Linked DNA regions of Canis lupus familiaris. The protein of the gene in region 1 interacts with the protein of each later gene in a pairwise test. Links are inferred from orthologs where the notes say so. Each region holds a gene or a part of one and is shown on either strand. Other genes may lie near its edges.

Evidence for each region.
Region 2: the proteins of SGTA (region 1) and GRN interact in binary tests that used the Homo sapiens proteins (3 or more experiments, as listed by UniProt). The two-hybrid records come from large-scale screens. The link is inferred for Canis lupus familiaris from reciprocal best matches to the Homo sapiens genes SGTA and GRN.

The regions. Positions count from the first base shown.
Region 1 is NC_049241.1:56,912,072-56,915,814, reverse strand, and holds the start of SGTA (small glutamine-rich tetratricopeptide repeat-containing protein alpha), read right to left. Parts: upstream 2,330-3,743; coding exon 2,230-2,329; intron 1,789-2,229; coding exon 1,682-1,788; intron 1,412-1,681; coding exon 1,327-1,411; intron 375-1,326; coding exon 275-374; intron 1-274. UniProt on the Homo sapiens protein: Co-chaperone that binds misfolded and hydrophobic patches-containing client proteins in the cytosol. Mediates their targeting to the endoplasmic reticulum but also regulates their sorting to the proteasome when targeting fails.
Region 2 is NC_049230.1:18,958,077-18,961,819, forward strand, and holds the start of GRN (progranulin), read right to left. Parts: upstream 2,215-3,743; 5' UTR 2,062-2,214; exon of another isoform or gene 1,892-2,061; intron 1-1,891. UniProt on the Homo sapiens protein: Secreted protein that acts as a key regulator of lysosomal function and as a growth factor involved in inflammation, wound healing and cell proliferation. Regulates protein trafficking to lysosomes, and also the activity of lysosomal enzymes.

The sequences.
Region 1 (3,743 bases):
GGAGGCTGAGGCAACTTTCCCTTAAAGCACCAGCCACACGGGGCTCCCCATGGCCAGCAGTAATGCCACCGTGAGCGCAGGCGCGATATGGTCACCCGTGGTTTGGCTTGCGTCCTCACCCAACACCTGTGCAGAATGGTGTCCCTAACTTTGATTTTAATGCCACGATCAGCTCCTGTTGACGCCTTGCTGGCCACAGGCTGCTGGCTGCTTATCTGGGCGCTGGATGAATGATTACAGTGTCAACACCTCCCCGAGCGCGCCCAGCCGCTACCTGTTACAGAAGTAGACGGCGTTGGCCGGGTTCAGCTCGATGGCTTTCCCATAGAAGTGCACGGCAGCTTCAAAGTTTTCTACCTTCATCTGCTCGTTTCCTAAAGGGAAAGAAAAAACAACGTATGCCCAGCTGTTCACGTCACATCCCAGGGGCCGAGACGTCCAGCCCAGCTCTCCCGGGCTTCTCCCTGAAGGTGCAAGACGTTGGGGAGGAGGGTCCGGGGGGCCAGGATGCAACACTCAGGGGTGCTGGGGTGTGGAGGAGGATCTGGGTTCTGGCCTGAGCCGGCACTGGGTGATGACCGTCACTGCTTTGGTCGTGACATTTGGAAACATAAGTCTCTTTGCTCCTTCTTTCACAAGAAACCAATTTTCACGAAATGTAATCTGAATGTAAAACTCACGTTTTCAAAGTGAATGACTCAGCGGCTTTTAGAAATTCACAAGTGTCCAACGCCACAACCTAATTCCAGAACGTTCCATTCCCCCCGCAAAAAAGTCCCTCCCCATGAGCAGTCACTCCTCACCCTCCCCTGGCCCCTGAGCCCCCTCCCCTGTGCGTGGGCGAGCCCGTCCTGGCTGTGTCACACACATGGACTCACACCCTGTGGGGCCTCCTGTATCTGGTTCCCTCCCTGAGCGTCGTGGGCTCAGGGTCCGTCCCTGGGGTGGTACATGTGGGCTAAGGGACATTCCAGAACATGGATACATCACGTTTTGTTCACCCTTTACCAGTTTATGGACATTTGGGCCGTTCTACCTTTTGGGTGCTGTGGACACACGCCTGCACTTGTCCTGGGTGTGGGAGGGGACTGGCTGGGCCACGTGCCCGCCGTGTGGCCACCGGGGAGCTGCGGGGAATGCCTTCCCTGGCGGCTGCCCCGCATACATCCCCGCGGGCCGAGCGCGGGGCTTATCCTCCCACATGCTGGCGCTGCGTGCTTAGGGGCCCGGCTCCCCTCCCACAGCTGCACCCCAGGGCCCCCCCGGCCCTGCCGCCCCGCAGGCCAGGTGGGTCAGGTGCCTGGTGGGGATGCAGTCTCAGCTCACCTTCGGTTTTGAGGCGCTCTGCCTCGGCTGAGTCCTCCTCTGAAGGCGGGGTCCGCTCGGGGCTCCTCAGGTCCTGCGGCACCTCCTGTCCCAAGGCAGACAAGTCGTTTGCAGGCAGAGGGCAACCCTACCGTCTCCTCCTCCAAAAAGCCCACACCCGCGGCCTCCCTCCTGCTCAGGGGCCACCCGAGGGCAGCTAGGCACTGTGGAGAGCACCTCAGGCCGGGGCCGGGCCCCCACTTCCCTGGTCCACAGCCGGGAAGCAGCCTGGGGGAGAACTCAGGTCTTGCATGGGTGCTTGGGGGCCCTGGCGACTCCTGCTGTTACGCCTATCCTGTGAAGCCCAGAAACTCACCTTGCCTGCAGCAGCTGCTTCAAATATTTCCGGCAGAGTCTGAGGGAGGGCGAGGTCATGGTCTTCCACTGTCACCCCAAAAGCAGTCTCCAGGCACTGGATTGCAACTGTGAGGTGGACAGAAGCATGTTCTTCTGAATGCAGCCCAGACTCTGGGGCTCTGGGGAGTCCCCTCTCTGTGAGACCCAGGTCAAAGGCCTGGCACATGGCAGGTGCCGAACCGCCAACTCCCACTGTGTCACTGTAGGCCGAGCCAGGTGGACGCCAAGGGGCTGGTGGCGGGGTCCGGGCAGAGGCCACTCAAGTGCCGGTCCAGCCTGGGATCCTGTCCCCCAGCCCTGTGCGGCTCCCAGGCGCTGTGGCCATTCCACCCTTTCTTTAAAATGAGCCTTTCTTCTCTGATCAGTGTGACTACGGTGGAGAATGTTCTGGAACCACACCTTGATGAAATATGGGGAGCTCACCAGAACTCCTGCAGGAAGCTGGGCCTGAGGTGACGGGGCTGGCTGTGTGGCGGGAAGCAGGGAGGACAGCGGGCCCACACGTACCTTCCAAGCTCTCCTGGGCGTCGGACGAGAGCCCCCCGTGCCGGAGCTGGTCGTGCAGGAACCGGATGATGGCGTAGGCCAGACGCTTCTTGTTATCCATCTTCAAACAGGAAGAGACAATGCCCTGGGGTTTTCAAGATCTGTGGAGCCAAGCCAGGGCCGTGAGGAGCACAGACCGAGGGCACGGGTGGCACCTGCTGCTCCAGGCTCCCCGGACCTCCGGGTGCTGGCTCACCAGGCCTGCACGAGCCCCAGGCCCAAGGAAGCCACTTTAAGTGCCCTGGGCAGGTCTTTTCTAAAGATTTTATTTATTTGACAGAGAAAGAGCATAAACACACGAGGGCACAAGAGCACAAGCAGGGGGCTGCAGCCGACGTCCCCCCCGCCCCGACTCTGGGGTCATGACCCAGGTGACCCGAGCCAAAGGCAGACACTTCACATCCTGAGCCCCCAGACGCCTCGCCTGGCCAGCTCTATCTGAAGAGTAAGTGAGGGGTAAACAGCTGGGAGGGGAGGGGCCCAGAGTAGCCCGAAAGGTGCAGGGGCACGGAGCCCCTTCCAGGCCGCCTGAAGGCCAGCTCTTGGTCCCTCTCCAAGTGCTGGACTCCCAGGCCGGGAGTGACCCTGCCTCAGGGACTCTGGGCCATGTCTGGGGACATCCGTGGTCACCACGATGGGGGTGCTCCTGGCATTGGGCCACGAGGACCTGGGATGTTGCTCAGCCCCCGGCTCCCAGGACGCCCACATAATGGAAAACTATCAGTTCCAGTGTCAGCCATGCCCAGGGGAGAGCCCTGGTCTGGAACATTCTGGGCAAGAGGGTTCTGCTACCTAAGGGTCTATGATGGGTCAGGCACGTCACGCAACACTGTGTCATCCCCTCCACACCACGACCTCCCTGGTCGCTCCCACCGACAAAAGCAACAGGTTGGGGACCGTGGCCTGTGAGGAGCGGCCGGCCCAAGGAACCCACAGCAGTCAGCACCTCGGTCTCCCCAAAACGCCTGCAGGGGGGTGAGCAGCCCGTGCCCCCACAGAAAACAAGGAGCGGGGCTCCTGCTGGCACTCTTGTTAGCTTGTTACCAGCCACGATGGTTCAACAAAGCCGGGGAGAGCCCGTCATGTGGCCCCAGGCTCCCCACGCAGGCCAGCGCCACACCGAGACGGTGCCTCCACTGGGCGCGTCTGCTCGGTCTCTGCTTCGTGGGAATCTGTGTCCCTTGACAGCTGCTTCTTCAAGTGGAGGAACCAGACACAGGAGGCCCCACGGGGTGTGAGCCCACGTGTGTGACACGTCCAGGACGGGGAGGGGGCTCGTGGGGGCCGGGGGGGATGGGGGTGAAGGCTATGGAGACAGTTTCTTTTTGGGGTGATGGAATGTTCTGGACTCAGAGAAGCGTAAATATACCAAAAACCACCATACTTTAAGGTAAACGATTTATACCTCAATTATAAAGGAAAAACTTAAAAAAAAAAAAACAAACCCATGTTCCGTAAGCAGGGGGAGGAATTAA
Region 2 (3,743 bases), on another chromosome or scaffold:
TGTCCCCAACCACCCAGGGAAGGGGTGCACAGGCCGGGCCAGCCTTTGAGACACCTGTGCCCTTGGGCTCCCCCAACACCACCAGGCCCTTTAAGACTCCCCAAACATACCACCCCCAAACCCTGCCGACCCCCTACCCGGAAGCTGAAACTCAGCAGTACAGGAAGAAGATCACATGCACTCACACAGCTGCACTAGCAGAAGAAACCAATCATGAGTCTCTGGGGAGTAACCTCTGACTTCCTAAATGAGTATTCCAAGCTCAGCCAGCCCTACTAGTTCAATGGGATGGGCCCAGAAGATGTTACCCTGCCTGGAGGGGCAAGACTAGTAATGTCTATTGAGCTTCAGGATGCCTGGTTGGCTCAGAAGTTGAGTGTCTGCTTTTGTCTCAGGGTGTGATCCTAGGGTCTGGGGATCGAGTCCCGCATCAGGCTCCCTGCAAGGAGCCTGCTTCTCCCTCTGCCTGTGTTTCTGCCTCTCTCTGTGTCTCATAAATAAATAAATAAATAACATCTTAAAAAAAAAAAAGTTTGTTGAGCCTTTCCCGGGCCAGTTACAATACTCTATCCTATTTTCTTTCTTTTTTGCAACAGCCATCCAAAGTACTAATTACCTTTACTTTGAGGCTCAGAGAAGTTCGGTAACATGCCCTTGTCATATATCCAGTCATGGAGATGACAGGCTTTGAGAGCTACAAAGCATACCAGACTTGGGTTCATGTCACCAGGTGGCACCATGCACAGTGCCCAGGAATGGACCCCTGAACCCCAGGAGAGTAGAGGCCTGGGGTCCAAGCAGAGGAGGGAGACAGAAGCATTTTCTGAGCAGGTGGACAAGGCAGGACAGAAATGAGAAGCACAGGGGTGCTGGATACTGCACTGGGGTGCTAGTCCTAGAATTGCCACCACTGATGGTGAGAGCCTCAAAAGTTGCTGTCTTGGGGCCTCAGTTCCCCCATGAGTCTGTGTGGACACTGCACACTGGGTGTGGCGACGACTTACACCCAGCCAGTCACTTGCATCCTTCTCTCCCTCACCTGGCTCTCTTCGCGGCCCCAGTCCCAGCTCAGAGACCGTTTCCAGGGGACACCGCCTGGCTGGTCCTATACCTTGGCCCCTTTCACCCTCTCCTCTACACTCACAGCTCCAGGCAAGACTCGTCCCGCCTACTTCTTGGGAGTCACACCTCAACCTTCCGTAGGCTGTCCCTTGTCCTGGCTTAGGCCGGAAGAGGTGCCTGTCTGCACAAATCTGGGACCACGGGGCAGTCTTTGGCATCCTAAAGTTAGGGAGTACAGCGTGTGCTTCTAGTGGATACCAATGCACAGACGCGCGCACACACTCACAACCAAGGATGACCTCTCTCCCGCCACCCCCCACTCCCAAGGTAGAGAGGGACAGGAGCCTCTCCAAGCCCCCAGCTCTGCCATCTTCCACTAGGTGGCAGCCCCCAACTCCCAGCGTCAGGAGAGAGATTCCCAAAAGGTGAGCCAACCCAACTGCGAGTGAGCAGGAAAAGTGGCCGGGAGAGGCGGAAGTTGGCTGGTCCCACCCCCCACGAGAGGAAGTACGGGAGCGGCAGACCCAACCCCCGCGTTCGGTCACCACCCCCCCGGCCCTGCTACCCTGGAGGGGGCAGGGCCACCAGCCCACTCGCAGCCCTCTGAGCTCCAGGACCAGGGCGCGCGCCTCTCTCGCTCCCAGTGCCCCGGGGACCACCCAGCACCACCAGCAGCAGCACCAGCAGCACCAGCAGCAGCACCCGGACCGGCCCGGAGCCGGCTCAAGAATGGGGTGGTCCCTGCTCTGGGGAAGGGGCTGCAGCTTCCGGAGCCGCTGGAGAGGGAGAGAGCCCCCTTCTCGTGGGGGTCACTGCAATCACTGCTTACCCCCGGCCCCCCGTAAAACTGCCTCCTGTGCATCGGAAAGCCCCAAAGGAGCTTCTCTGAGCCAGTCTTCTCTTGCCTCCCGGCTGAAACTCCAGACGAGCCTCAAGCCCTCACGTCCGCCCGGCCGAACTGCCGAGGAAGCGAGAGGTCTGCGCGGCCACCCTCCTTACCTGTGACCGGCCCCGCGCTCGCTGCGAAGCCGGGCCGGGCAGCTCGGGACTAGGGCCTGCGGCGCGACGGCCCGCCCACCTCCGTTCCCATTGGCCAGGCGTCCGGGCTGTCGCGCTCCTACTGGCTGCTGCTCGACGGTAGAGGCGGGGCCAGCCTGCAAAGCTCTGCTTTTTTTTCTTACTCAATTCGCGGTCGTCCCTCCCTTCTTCTCGCTTCCCACCCTCCCCCCTCCACTGTTTTATGGGATCATGTGATTGGAGAATCATGTGACGTCCTGGCCGGGCTCGGCCGGGCTGCGGGCGCCTGGCGGAGTCTTCCCGAGGTGGTGTGGCCCCGGAGTGCGTTGGCCGGCGAAGGGAGCTGCCCCTTAGGGGGTGCACTCCAGGGCGTTTACAGGATGTCTGCTTCTGGGTTAGGGACACCTGTGCATCCTGTTTCTTTTGTATTCAACGAACTCAGAATAAATGCTGGGCAGCCAGGCCCCGAAGGGAGGGTTGTGAGGGCAAGGATAGACAGCTCTCAGGCCCTTTCCTCAGGGTGCTCCTGGCCGGGTGTGAGTGGGTAGAGAGATGAGACAGGCTCACGTTCAATCTAATTTAAGGTGCAAGATCGTGTGCCAGGTATTAATGGATGTGTGTAGGGCAGAGGTGGAAGATTGGCTCTTGGCAGGGAGGAAAAGATTTAATTCTACCTTAAGGGCACTTTAAAAATTATTTATTTATTTATCTGAGAGAACGAGCATGAGCGGAGGGAGAGGGAGAAGCAGACTCCCTGCTGAGCAGGGAGCTGGACTGGGGCTTGATCCTAGACCCTAGGATCATGACCTGAGCCAACGGCAGATACTCAACCAAGTGAACCACCCAGGCGCCCCTTTAAGGACACCTTTTGGAGCTGAACCTGGGAGAATGTTAACTGGCAGGTGGACAGGGGTTGGCAAAGCTCCTGAGCAGGGGGTGTTAGGAAGAGCATTAGGAAACCAGATGGGAAGAGCAGCGTTGGGCAGGGATTAAATGCCAAGTACAACGTAGTGGGCTTGAGGAGCTGTTGGGTGCCTGACACGAGGCTTGGGCTGGGGGTGGGAGCATAGTGGAAGTGGCTTCCTCGTTAGAGTCAGCCTTGCCTTCCAGGAATTGAAATAACCGGTGAGGAGAGAAAGGTACTACACAGAACAGATTGGCCAGCAACAAGAGCCAGGCTGCTCCGTGCCAAAAGGCCATTTTGGCTCAGGCCAAAAATGGTTGATAGATGCACCAGGAAAGAGGAGAGGCCCAGAGAAAGCCCAGTGCCAGGCTAGGGGGACAGGCAGTGTTTGGTGGTACAGTGTGGATGGAGAGCACCACAGGCTCAACAAAGAGCTTGGGCAGAGGGGTGGCTGGGGGAGATGACAAACACCCCAATTCAGGGGTGGTGGCATTCTGTGTGTGGGAGTAGCAGGGTTGGGGAATTGTGTGTGGCAGTGGTGCTCAGCCTGGGGCTAGAGAGGGTCTGGAGAGTGTGTGAGGCTCCTGCTGAGAATCAGGACAACCCTGTACGCTAGTGACATTTGTACACAGTTTACCTCCTGAGTATCCTGAGGCAAGGGGAGGTCCCATTTATGCTTCCATTAATAAAGTATGGGCACACACATTTTTCATGAAATGTTAGGATAATCTATAAATGAACATATTAACCGCAACTGCAC